Oryctolagus cuniculus: one gene and its partners. The protein of the gene in region 3 interacts with the protein of the main gene of each other region in a pairwise test. Links are inferred from orthologs where the notes say so. Each region holds a gene or a part of one and is shown on either strand. Other genes may lie near its edges.

Evidence for each region. The genes of interacting proteins can lie anywhere in the genome.
Region 1: the proteins of PNMA5 (region 3) and CSTPP1 interact in binary tests that used the Homo sapiens proteins (3 or more experiments, as listed by UniProt). The two-hybrid records come from large-scale screens. The link is inferred for Oryctolagus cuniculus from reciprocal best matches to the Homo sapiens genes PNMA5 and CSTPP1.
Region 2: the proteins of PNMA5 (region 3) and RAD23B interact in binary tests that used the Homo sapiens proteins (3 or more experiments, as listed by UniProt). The two-hybrid records come from large-scale screens. The link is inferred for Oryctolagus cuniculus from reciprocal best matches to the Homo sapiens genes PNMA5 and RAD23B.

What each region holds. Positions count from the first base shown.
Region 1 is NC_091432.1:19,008,744-19,012,912, forward strand, and holds the start of CSTPP1 (centriolar satellite-associated tubulin polyglutamylase complex regulator 1), read right to left. Parts: upstream 2,849-4,169; 5' UTR 2,725-2,848; coding exon 2,679-2,724; intron 1-2,678. UniProt on the Homo sapiens protein: Regulator of the tubulin polyglutamylase complex (TPGC) that controls cytoskeletal organization, nuclear shape, and cilium disassembly by balancing microtubule and actin assembly.
Region 2 is NC_091432.1:211,021,777-211,025,978, forward strand, and holds the start of RAD23B (UV excision repair protein RAD23 homolog B), read left to right. Parts: upstream 1-1,354; 5' UTR 1,355-1,740; coding exon 1,741-1,806; intron 1,807-4,202. UniProt on the Homo sapiens protein: Multiubiquitin chain receptor involved in modulation of proteasomal degradation. Binds to polyubiquitin chains.
Region 3 is NC_091453.1:131,406,258-131,410,397, reverse strand, and holds the start of PNMA5 (paraneoplastic antigen-like protein 5), read left to right. Parts: upstream 1-1,314; 5' UTR 1,315-1,442; intron 1,443-3,638; 5' UTR 3,639-3,780; intron 3,781-4,140.

The sequences.
Region 1 (4,169 bases), on a different chromosome or scaffold from region 3:
TTCACTTCCGATCCTGCTCTCTGCTGTGGCCTGGGAAAGCAGTAGAAGATGGCCCAATTCCTTGGGCCCCTGCACGCTCATGGGAAGACCCAGAAGAAGCTCCTGGCTCCTGGCTTTGGATCAGCACGCAGCTTTGGCCATTGCGGCCAACTGGGGAGTGAACCAGAGAATGGAACACCTCTCTCTCTCTCTGCCTCTCCTCTCTCTGTGTAATTCTTTCAAATAAATAAATAAATCTTTAAAAAATTATTATTCATTGAATATAAAATTATCATCTTGTTTTGGATAATTGATGGATGTGATCATCTGAGAGACAGAGAGAAAGAGATAGAGCATATATAGACCAATCAGCCCTTAAACTTCGTTAAAAATCAACATCATAAAAGAAATGCACACTAAATCTACAGTGAGACTATTTGTCACACAACAGACTGAAAAAATCCAAATGTCTGATCTATTCTGTTGGCAAGACAGTGGGGATAGTCATTCTCTTACAATGCTGGTGGCACTGTAAAATGTACAACCCTATGAAGGGTAATTGGGCAATATAAATCAATATTTCAAATGCATATGCCTTTGACCCATCAATTCCACTTTGTAGAATTTATCCTTGTAGATACGCTGGCAAAGGAACAAAATTGCAGGTTATTTATTACAGCGTTTTGTCTACCAATATGGGACTGGCTAAATAAATTACTTAAATACCATGTAGCCAAAAGTTAAATTTTAGAAAGAGTAAAGAAGCACTCTACTGATACAGAAATTACTCTGAGACATATTAAGTGAAAAATTATTCACTGTCTACTCTCTTCTGTATATTATGTACACCTCCGGAGGATACATAGGGAACCAGTTACCTTTGGTGGGGGGTTGCTGAGGCAGGGTGGGAAACAGGCAGACAGGCGAAGGAGTGGGAGAAGGCTTCATTTTTTAATCAGGTTTTCATATTATCAAGTCAAAAATGTAAACCAGAATTGCTTATCATTTAAAAATTATACATGGACCATCCACACTATGGAATATTGTTCAGTGATATAAAGAAATGAGCTACCAAGCCACAAAATGACAGGGAGGAACCTTAAATGCCTATTGCTAAGTGAAAAGAAACCAATTTGAAAAGGTTCCACCATGTATAAATTCAACTATATGATATTCTGTCAAAGGCAAAACCTTAGAGAAAGTGAGATCAGTGAGGGATGAAAGGGTGGGGCACAGAAGACTTGAGGGCACTGAAACTATTGCCTGCATCACTGTGTGACACTCAGTGGAGTCACGTGCAAGTGTCAAAACCCATAGAACTGTACAGCACAAAGGCTGAGCCCTCATGTCATCTAAGGACTTTAGTTAACAATAACGTGTTGACTGTGGCTCATTAATGGTAACAAATACAGCACACTACTGCAACACGTCCAATGTAGAGGACACTGAATAGGGAAAGAGGATATTTGGGAACACTCCACTATCTGCTCAATTTTCTGTAAACTTAAAAATCCTCTAAATAAATCGGTCTATAAGGCCGGCGCCGCGGCTCACTAGGCTAATCCTCCGCCTTGCGGCGCCGGCACACCGGGTTCTAGTCCCAGTTGGGGCGCCGGATTCTGTCCCGGTTGCCCCTCTTTCAGGCCAGCTCTCTGCTGTGGCCAGGGCGTGCAGTGAAGGATGACCCAAGTCCTTGGGCCCTGCACCCCATGGGAGACCAGGAGAAGTACCTGGCTCCTGCCTTCGGATCAGCGCGATGTGCCGGCCGCAGCGCGCCGGCCGCGGGGGGCCATTAGAGGGTGAACCAACGGCAAAAGGAAGACCTTTCTCTCTGTCTCTCTCTCTCTCACTGTCCACTCTGCCTGTCAAAAAAAAAAAAAAAACCGGTCTATAAATTTTAAAATGTGTGTTTGTGTGCGTGCCTTCCGTCACCCAGGAAATGCCTTAGGTGCTGCCAGTACTCAATATAGTGCAGTGCTATGGTTACAGCCATACTGAGCTGAGTCAAGAGCTCAGGTGCTCACTTTATTGTGAAAACAAGTTACCTATGCCACCCTTCTATGAGCATGCCAGACAGGGCAAATAAGATTGCAAATCAGGTCTTTTAGTAGGTTTTGTCCCCTGCCTTGTAACTGAATGTCAAGCTGGTAAGTTTTTTTTTTTCCCCAAAATTGTGCCAATACACCCCAATAACCACCGGCCCCTTCCCCTTCGGGTTTTGCCTTTCTTGGAACCCCCTCCAATGACATGAACAATGCAGGTAAAATGTTTAGCACGGTGCCTAACGGGAAAGGAAAGCTCAAAATGAGAGCGGGTGCTGTCACGGTAAAATGATCATTCATCCAATGACTGAATCGCCACTTCAGGTTCCAAGGGTCCTTAATCCACTACCAGCATAACCAACAGGGCCTCAAATTCTCAGCTCCAATAAGGCCCCAAATTCTGAACCCCAACCTGTCCTCCTTTGAGTACTATCCGCATTGCCTGAGCTCCAGCCCAGACACTTTGCAGTCTTTACTCTCCAGATGCTATTTTTCCTCTGTAGGGTCTTAGGCGTTCAGCCCTAGAACCCCCGCCTCTCCGCCCCTCCCCATCCCTCGCTACCCGGCCCATTCCAGACCCCGCCCCCGCCTCCTCCCAGACATGGCCTAAAGTCGTCTTCACTTCTCTCCTTCCCCCAGGCTGAAGGAAGCTCCTACCCAGATACTCGTAGTCCGGTAGGGCTAGGCGCTCCGGACTCAGCATCTTTAGACCCGGGTATCTTCAAAGCTCCAGCTACCCGGCTTCCGGAACCCAGGTCGCCGGCTCCCTCCGTTGCCATGGCACCCACGCGGCAGGAGGAAAGGTGAAAGGCGGAGAGGGTGTCACGCAAACGGTCTCCGTATGGAAACTCCGAACTGGCCACACAAGTTCCGGGAGCAGTCGCTTCGCGGCTGTTGCGGTTTTTCTGGGCTCCTATTCTTGAGGACTTGGTTTAAAAGGAATCTGAGATGGAGAATTCTTTTGAATCCGTCATATTTTCTGGTGTCGAAGAATTACTGTCAGCTGTCCATATCTGTAATTTCTGAATTTCATAACTATTCCTGCTTTGTACAGCTGTTATCTTAACTCACCATAATAGCTGCCACCCATGAACTTCCATAAATACTTAGTATCCCATTACCTAATCTCTTTACTATCTTAAATTGCTACAAAGCGCTTTCACGTGCGTGTGTTTTGGCTGCTTCTGGAGGTTGGGGAGTGTCTTCTGTCCACGATAGTGCTGGATACCAAAAGGTGCTTTCTTAGTCCTAAAGTAATTGACATTTCTCTCAAATTTCCTAAGCCCTTCTTTCTCCTCTCCCTTACTAGTTGATACCTTTTCCAAGTGTCTTTTTCCTTCCAAGATACTTCATTTCCTGTGGAGAGAGGTGCATAAACTGGGATATTTATTAGATTTTTCCCCAAAAGACACCCAACTGCTATTTTTAAAAATGATTTATTGATCTGTTCGAAAGGCAGAATTACAGAGAGGGAGAGACACAGAGACATCTTCTATCCACTGGTTTACTCCCTAAATGGCTGTAATGGCCAGGGCTGGATCAGAACGAAGCCAGGAGCCAAGAGATTCCTCCAGGTCTCACAAGCAGGGGCCCAAGCACTTGGACCATCTTCTACTGCTTTCCCAGGGGCATTAGTAGGGAGCTGGATTGGAAATAGTACAGCCACAACTGGAACCGGCACTCATATGGGATGTTGATGTCACAAGTGATTTAATCCACTGCACCACTGTGCCAGCCCCCAAACTGCTTTGTGTGGATGTGGTTTTGCTTGTTTATTTTGTTTTTTAAGATTTTATTTTACTTTTTTGAAAGGCAGAGAGAAAGAGAGATCTTCTATCCACCGGTTCACTCCCCAAATGGCCATAATATCCAGGGCTGGGCCAGGCCAAACCAGGAGCCTGGAGTTCCGTCCAAGTCTTGATGGCAGGAACCCAAGTACTTGGGCCATCATCTGCTTCTTTCCAAGTGCATTAGCAGGGAGCTGGATCTGAAGTGGAGCAGCTGGGACTCCAGCTGGTGATCTGATACAGGACGCATGTGGCAGGTGGCAGCTTCCCCATTGCTTTAAAAAAAAATTTCCTTTAGAATGAGAAAGTATTCACTGGTTTTCGACTTCCCAGATGTTTCTCAGTTTGCTCCACTCCCCTT
Region 2 (4,202 bases), on a different chromosome or scaffold from region 3:
TGCTGGCTCAGAGAGATTAATGTACATTTGCTCACACAGCTAGTGGTCCAACGGTAACTGGGCTTCATCCTCGAATCGCTTTAAGTCAAACGTGCTCCAGGGAGCCCTATTCCTGGAGTCATTCTGGCCCAGTTCAGAGTCGAGTCTGGTTTGCCACTTCACAGGTGGCCGACTACAGGCACGCGGCTCAACAGCCTTGTACTTCAGCTTTTGCCCCTGTAAATGGACATGTAATCAATGGCTAACCGCTTATGGACTGTTGATTAGGCTCCTTACATTAAGATTTTGCATACTTTATTGAACTCCCCTCCAATAACCAACGAGTTGGGTGCTGTTAGTACCCCACGTTAGTGCTGAGGAGCTGGAAACACAGGTACCCATTTTACGAATATTCACTGTATGCCTGCAGTGTGCCAGGCGCGTTTCTTAGGTGCCGGGGATACACCGGGGAACAAAACAAAATCCACACCTTTGTGTAGCTTCAGTCAGGGGCTTAATGGAAAGGGAGAAGGATGATACACACAGTAAACATGTACATTAGATGGTAAGATTAGGTGATACACGCTATGGGAAAAACGATCAGGATAGAGGAGCTAGGACAGTTGTGATTTCCAGTAGGGTAGCCAGGATGGACCTCACCGAGTCTGAGCGAAGAGCTGCAGGAGGGGAAGTGATGGCAAGGGCACAGACAGCCCTGTGGCGGTGCAGGACGGGCCGACGCACTCAGTTCTAAGGACTTGGACTTTTACTCGGAGAGGGCCAGGAGGGAACTCGTCAACACGTCTGCTCACTGGAGAGACAACCACCTGCGTTTCAAATTGGCCTGTGGAGATTCAAGTCTCAAAGCCAGGGAGAAAAAGGCACGGTGTGAGCCCAGGCGGTCGCGCTCTGGAGTCCGCGCCCTCAGGATTAAGCATCAGCCGATTACACACACAGGCTCACCCCGGCAGCAAGCGCCCCGCAAGTGTTGGCCCAGGACTGCGGCTCCCGCGATCCCTCCACTTTTCACTCCGCCTTCTACCTCTCCTTTTCTAGGCTCAGCATCTACTCAGACAGGTTTCCACGTAGCGCTTCCCCAGCTACGGATTGCGCAATTCGGGCAGCTGGGTGGGGTCTGGACCTGGGCGGAGCGACAGCCGGTTGGAAGAACGCCCCGGCTGTAAACCCTGCGAGCACGCCCCAAGCTCACCGGACGCCCACGGCGTGCGCCTGCGCACCCCGATCCAGGCGGCCAACATTCCAGAGCCGCAAGCCGCCACGCCCCCAGTTCCGGGGCGGAGCTCTGGACCGCGCCTGCGCACTACTTCGTCGCAGCCTGCGCCTGCGCGCTTCGCCCGCCCGGCCCCATCCCCCAGGTTTTTTCAGGTGGGGGAGGGGGCACGTCTCGGCGAGTCACGATGATGGCGGCCACCATCCTGTGGTGAGCTAGCGGATTCTCTGCAGGTCTCACAGAGCCCCTCGCGCTTCCTGCAGACTCGGGGGCTGGCGGCGGGCGCGTGAGGAAGCACGGCGGCCGGAGCTCGCGGGAAAGGCCGGAGTCGCGGAGGCAGCGGCGCGGCCCGGGGCCCGGACTGGGGGAGAGGCCGCTCCGCAGGGCGAATGTGACAAGCCCCCACCCCCACCGCCTTCCTCCAGAGAGCGCGAGGAGCGCGGGCGACCCCAGGGCCGGGCCAGGCCACAGACCCCGCCCAGCGGCCAGCACCCGGCGGAGGCCCGGCAGCGGAGCTGCGCGGCGGCACCATGCAGGTCACCCTGAAGACCCTTCAGCAGCAGACCTTCAAGATCGACATCGACCCCGAGGAGACGGTACGCGCGGCGGGGAGCGCGGGGGCGCCGGCGGCTGCGCGCGGGGCCGAGCACCCGAGGGCGCGGAGGCCCCAGCGGCGTGTGCGGCGGACCCGGCCCCACAAGAGTTGGCCGGGGGCTTTGTAGCAGGGAGCTTCGGGGAGCGGTGGCCGGACGCCGGAGGCCTGGTGGCAGATGGCGTGGAGCGCACGCCCGCGGGGCCCGCAGGCCTCGGCCGCGGAGCTCGTGGCGCTGGGGCTGAGGGGGAGGGGAGGTCGGGCAGCCCCGGCGGTGGAGCCCGGGCCGCGGCTGCGGGTGCCCAGGTGGGGGAGGGCGACGGAGACGTGGAGCTGGTTAGGCGCGGAGGGCTAGGAGTTGGTAACCCGAGCTGATGGGCCTTAAAAAGAAGGATCAGGTTCCGTCTGTGGCCGAGTGAGTGGTGAAAATGAGTTCATTGCCCCCTTCTCTGGAAAGGTTAACCCTTTTGTTTGCATACGTCTCGAATGGTTTTCTGCCGTCCTCCTGGCCCCCAGCACACACGCACACGCAGATTACACTCCGAGAACTCTGGTGGCGAGGTGTGTGCCTCGGAGCCCTGCGAATCCGGGCTCGGACTCAACTCCAGATTGCGCGGGTCCCTCTTTTGGAAGCCTTGGAATGGTAGGGGTTGGAACCCTGGACACCCCCCCCCCCCAATACTTGCAATTTAGGGGAAAGAAACGAACATAAAATACGAACTCTGAATTTCTTCTGTAAAGTCTTAAGAGCTCCAGTCCACGTGACCCAATCTCATGCCATCTTCTCTACTTGTGGCTGCAAAAAGACGCGCTCTGTTGGAATCAATTCAGCTTTATCCCAAGAAATGAAAAATGCCCCGAGTTTAACTCTGCTGCGTGTGTTCCAGAGTTGTCACGCCCCCATACACCGTTAAGACTGTCGTAATGTCAAGTTGAAACCAGCAGCTTGCTGCTTATCTTTATTTTAAAAAATATTTGATTTTTATTTTGGTTGGAGATCGGGGCCTTGGTGTTAAGTAGACATGAGTTCCGTCTGTGGCTTTGGCACTTATTTGGTATGACCTTGCGCACATTACTCTGTTTCGTCCTCCATAATAGATATAAATACCTGAGGATTAAATGGTATTTAGTTGGAGGTCAATAAACAGAATCATTCGATCAATAGGTACCTTTGAGGGAAGATGATGTTAAGTTTTACCTGTCTCATTTAATCTTGTAAATTTTTCTGCATTTTCAGTTTGTTTAAGAAACCAAGAGAGTTGCCAGTCCTTTCGGAATTGTGGCACAAAGTAATTTCAAAATAATTCATCAAATGTAGATGAATGCTGTGTGATGAATTTGTAAAGGTACAGGAGATACCAGTTCTGTGTGAGAAACTTTCAGTGTGCTCAGAAGTAACTGGCAACACCCTGTGTGCTAATACTGCTAATAGAAGGAAATTCTTGAATATTTTCCTGTTGCTAGGGTTTATACTAATAAGTTGAATGACAAAGTTTAAAATGCAGTTGTCTTTAATTTCAGACCAAACTACATAAACTGCCTAATTGACTTCGGTTCTGTGTGGTAATAAGTGTCGGAGCCATGGTAACTCAGTTTATAATAGTCAATTCCAGAATTATTGAAACCTAAAGTTTTTTTTTTTTTTTTAAAGTATCTGGGTTTATTGAAGTTGTGCAGTGATACTTTCCATAGCTTCACTGAAATACTCCTCCTCTAGCTCTTTTTGGCATTTTACACATGGAGCCAATGCTGTATTTGTAGAAGTTCTTAACTGTATTCATTGCTTTCCTTCGATTCCAAGGGAATGTAATGAATTACACTTTCAGATGTATATTTTCCAGAAAGTTTTATGGGGGGGAGCTTTAGCTTTTTTGTTGCTATTTATATAAATATAACTTTGTTGCTATTGCTATAATTATAAACTAATATTTTAGGTTAGTCTGGGGTAAAAAACTAAAGCCTTCTATTTACATTAAAACAACTTGTCGATTTTCAGTAATGGCTTGGAGTTTCAGAAAATTTTTAAAGGCACCTTTTAGATGTGTACTCATTTTTTGATACAATATTTTAGAATTCCGCTAAGAAACAATAACAGTTTGATATAGGGTGATTCTAAGTGGCTTGTTCTAATTTGTTGTGAGAAGTAGATAACCAAAGATAGTAGAAACAGTTAAAAAATAATGAAAAGTTGTGATTTCATTGAGACATAATAAGTATATCTGCAATGAACAGATTTTGGCCTCAGACCTGTATTTTGGTTGCTCAAACATTGGTTCCGTGTTTACAAAGAAAGGAACTAAGCAAATTCCTTAACTCTGGGTAGCCTCTCTAGAAGTTCCTGTGAGCTTGAGAAGAACATGAGCAAAAATGGAGGAAAGGTTTGAGAGATAAGGGAAATCA
Region 3 (4,140 bases):
AGTACAGAGGTGCTCAGGACAGCTCTGCTCACAGCCTGTATGAGACTGGGCAGCTGGTGGTGTCATCCAGAGGGTGCTGTGGACTGCTGTAAGGAGAGCCGTCTGGTCTGTGACCACGTGGCAGCGCCAAGTAATCATTTTCTCCAGTAAGGAGAAGGAAATTAATTTAAGAGATAGTCCAAAGTATGTTCTTGTTAAGTACGCAGTATAGGGGTCTGGGTTACAGTGTCATGTCTCACCTAGGAAAAATTTTCAATTAAAGGAGAATAATGCAATATTTGTATGTATCTTACTTGGTGACATTTAGTTTTAAAAGTTTTCTGCTTTTCACATTTTCATTAAAATATGATTTTAAAAAAGGCCTGTTATTCGTACCAAATACAGCAAAACTTACGTTCTGTCAGCTTACAACTTCTGGCTCTGGTAATCTCAGAGCAGTGCTACACAAAGCATGGGCAGGGAACTGCAATAGCCGCTAGAGTTTTGGTACTTTTGCAGACTCTGAGCTCTGCCAAGACCTCCTGACTCACAACTTGAACCGCTACTATCACCTGCTCTGGGAAATGTGTGTGCACTTTGTAAACTGCTACCAGTGTCCCACCAGTGCCCTTTGCTGGGACAGGACTTTAGGGTCCCCAGTAGCCCCAAGGAAAACAGCTAAGTCTTCCCTCTGTGGAAGAAACCTGCTTTGGGAAAGAAAAGAGAGAAGTTTCGGTACCTCGTGGGTAATTCTCATGCAATCACGAGAATAATGAGAGAATGAAATCTTGATAGTTTCCTGTATCTCAATGAGCCTTGAAAATTGCATGCATTTGTAAAATGAAGGTAGTAGCTGTATTTTTTATTTTTTGCCGTCCCCTAGGACACAGTGGATAAAAATTAACAAGGACAGAGACGTTTGGTTAGTTAGTAGGTACCGAGCTTGTAGTTTGCACCTGGACCTATACTTTGCACATAGCCCTGTGTGCATAGCTTGGAATACACAAACAGGAGGAGCCACTGGTGAAAGTCAGAGCCAGTCCCAGTCCAATGGGTGAGAGACACCTATCATAGTAGCCGCAATGGTTGCTGGGACTGATGTGACAGGTGGTGGTCCTGTCGGCCTCTATTGAGCACGTACAAGCTGGACTGTGAGCAACTCTGCAACGCAACAGTTCTCAGTATGGTTTGAATTCTCTGTTCCCCCTCCAGTCATGACTCAGAGGAGAAACGTGCGGTGGACAGGGCACAACCCCTTTATTGCAGGAGTGGGGTGGAGGTGGAGATGGGGGTGGGCGTGGCCGTAGACGTTGCCGGGATGCATCTGCGAGTGGGCGGTGCTGAAGACCGTTGCTTACCCGACAATTTCTTTCCCGCCACAAACTCGCGGCTCATTCCGTACAGTGGCGGCGGCAGAGTGGCCACGCTGCACGGGCGCTGTGGCCTGGAGGCATTCCCAGAAGGTAAGGAGCTGGGTTTGGGCACAAAAGGGAACCAAGGTTACAACAGATTCCCTCCAATGATCCTGGTTGACCTCCATGAGGTCCCAGGGGCCAGTGGCCTTAGATTCCCCTGGAAGCAGAATCCTAGGGGTCCCTGATATTTCCAGTTATCATGAGTGGCCTCAGAACTTTAGGAGGGCCCATTCTACCCCAAACCTGCCCAGACGTAGCAGTAAGGACAACTGGTTCTGGCCCTTATCCTTGAGGGAAAGTGGCTTTGGCCATTCCTGTTCTAGCCTCTAGCTACCTCTGCTGACTAGATGTGTCCCTGCTCAGAGTAGTGGAAAGGGTGTGTGAGGTTAGGAGTGAATGGGACAGCCTGATGGGTACAGGAGGTTAAAGATAATGAGGTGGGGGAAAGGAGTACAGGGAAATGGAAGTGAGGAACTTGGGTGGGTGCAGGACGTGCACATGAATGGCGGAGTGTATGACACTCGGATGGACACAGAGTTTGGCGGTTCAGTGGCTCTTGGTGAAAGTGGCTTTTGGCGCCAGAAATGGCGCTTGCGCAAGACGCAGTTTGCCGGTTCAGTGGATCTTCAGAGGTTGGCTTTTGGCGCCAGGAATGGCGCTTGCGTGGACGCAGAGTTTGGCGCCAGAGGTGGGGCTTACGTGGACGCAGAGTTAGACGGCAGGGGTGGGGCTTGCGTGGACGCAGAGTGTTGCGCCGGGGTGGGACTTGCGTGGACGCAGAGTTTGACGGCAGGGGTGGGGCTTGCGTGGACGCAGAGTGTTGCGCCGGGGTGGGGCTTGCGTGGACGCAGAGTTTGACGGCAGAGGTGGGACTTGCATGGACGTAGAGTGTTGCACCAGAGATGGAACTTGCGTGGACGCAGAGTTTGACGGCAGGGGTGGGGCTTGCGTGGACGCAGAGTTTGGCACCAGAGGTGGGGCTTACGTGGACGCAGAGTTAGACGGCAGGGGTGGGGCTTGCGTGGACGCAGAGTGTTGCGCCGGGGTGGGACTTGCGTGGACGCAGAGTTTGACGGCAGGGGTGGGGCTTGCGTGGACGCAGAGTGTTGCGCCGGGGTGGGACTTGCGTGGACGCAGAGTTTGGCGCCAGAGGTGGGGCTTGCGTGGACGCAGAGTTTGACGGCAGGGGTGGAGCTTGTGTGGACGCAGAGTGTTGCGCCGGGGTGGGGCTTGCGTGGACGCAGAGTTTGACGGCAGAGGTGGGACTTGCATGGACGTAGAGTGTTGCACCAGAGATGGAACTTGCGTGGACGCAGAGTTTGACGGCAGGGGTGGGGCTTGCGTGGACGCAGATTAGACGGCAGGGGTGGGGCTTGCGTGGACGCAGATTAGACGGCAGAGGTGGGGCTTGCGTGGACGCAGAGTTTGACGGCAGAGGTGGGACTTGCATGGACGTAGAGTGTTGCACCAGAGATGGAGCTTGCATGGACGCAGAGTGTTGCGCCGGGGTGGGACTTGTGTGGACGCAGAGTTTGGCGCCAGAGGTGGGGCTTACGTGGACGCAGAGTTAGACGGCAGGGGTGGGGCTTGCATGGACGCAGAGTGTTGCGCCGGGGTGGGACTTGCGTGGACGCAGAGTTTGGCGCCAGAGGTGGGGCTTACGTGGACGCAGAGTTAGACGGCAGGGGTGGGGCTTGCGTGGACGCAGAGTGTTGCGCCGGGGTGGGACTTGCGTGGACGCAGAGTTTGACGGCAGGGGTGGGGCTTGCGTGGACACAGAGTGTTGCGCCGGGGTGGGGCTTGCGTGGACGCAGAGTTTGACGGCAGAGGTGGGACTTGCATGGACGTAGAGTGTTGCACCAGAGATGGAACTTGCGTGGACGCAGAGTTTGACGGCAGGGGTGGGGCTTGCGTGGACGCAGAGTTTGGCACCAGAGGTGGGGCTTACGTGGACGCAGAGTTAGACGGCAGGGGTGGGGCTTGCGTGGACGCAGAGTTTGGTGCAAGGAGTGGGGCTTGCGTGGACGCAGTTACATGGCAGGCGTGAGGCTTAGGTGGATGCAGAGCTTGGCCTTGGGGGTGTGGCTTGAGTGGAGGTGGGATTTGGGGCTTGGTGGGTGGGATTTTTCCCTGGGGGTGGAGCAGCAGTTTCTTGTATTCGTGAGCAGATTCAAAATTGGCACATCCTGAGCAGGGCATTTGGGACGTAACCACAGTGAAATACCTCTGCCTTGCTTTGGACAGATCCAGTGAAGGGATCCTGATCCATCTAACCTGGTTCGGGAACTGCCTGACAGGACAGAGCTGGAGAGCAAGCTGAGTGCCTGATTACATCAGAATCACAAACTCTACACGGCCAGTGGAATCCACACTGCCAAGTCGTCAAGTAAGTTATTTTGGAAGGTGAGCCTCTGTGACCCTGGCAAAGGACAAGGGGACAAAGGCTGCCTTCCAGGATCCACACACTCTGCAGGGTAGGGCCACACCTAGGGTGACAGTTGTCTGTTTCCTGCAGCGGGACAGTGGGAACCCTTCGTTGGGTCCCTTTTCTGCCCCTAATTCTAGCTGCTACACAATATGAAACCTTAAGCACTTGTTTTTTCAGCACTCAGTCCTTGCTGCTCACCTCACCCCCATCTCCCCTTCACTCTCCCAGCTCCCTTGCTGCTAGGACATTTCCATTGGCTGGAGGATAGTGACATCACCTGTTGCTCTTCAAGTGCCTTCACCTTACCACATGACACAG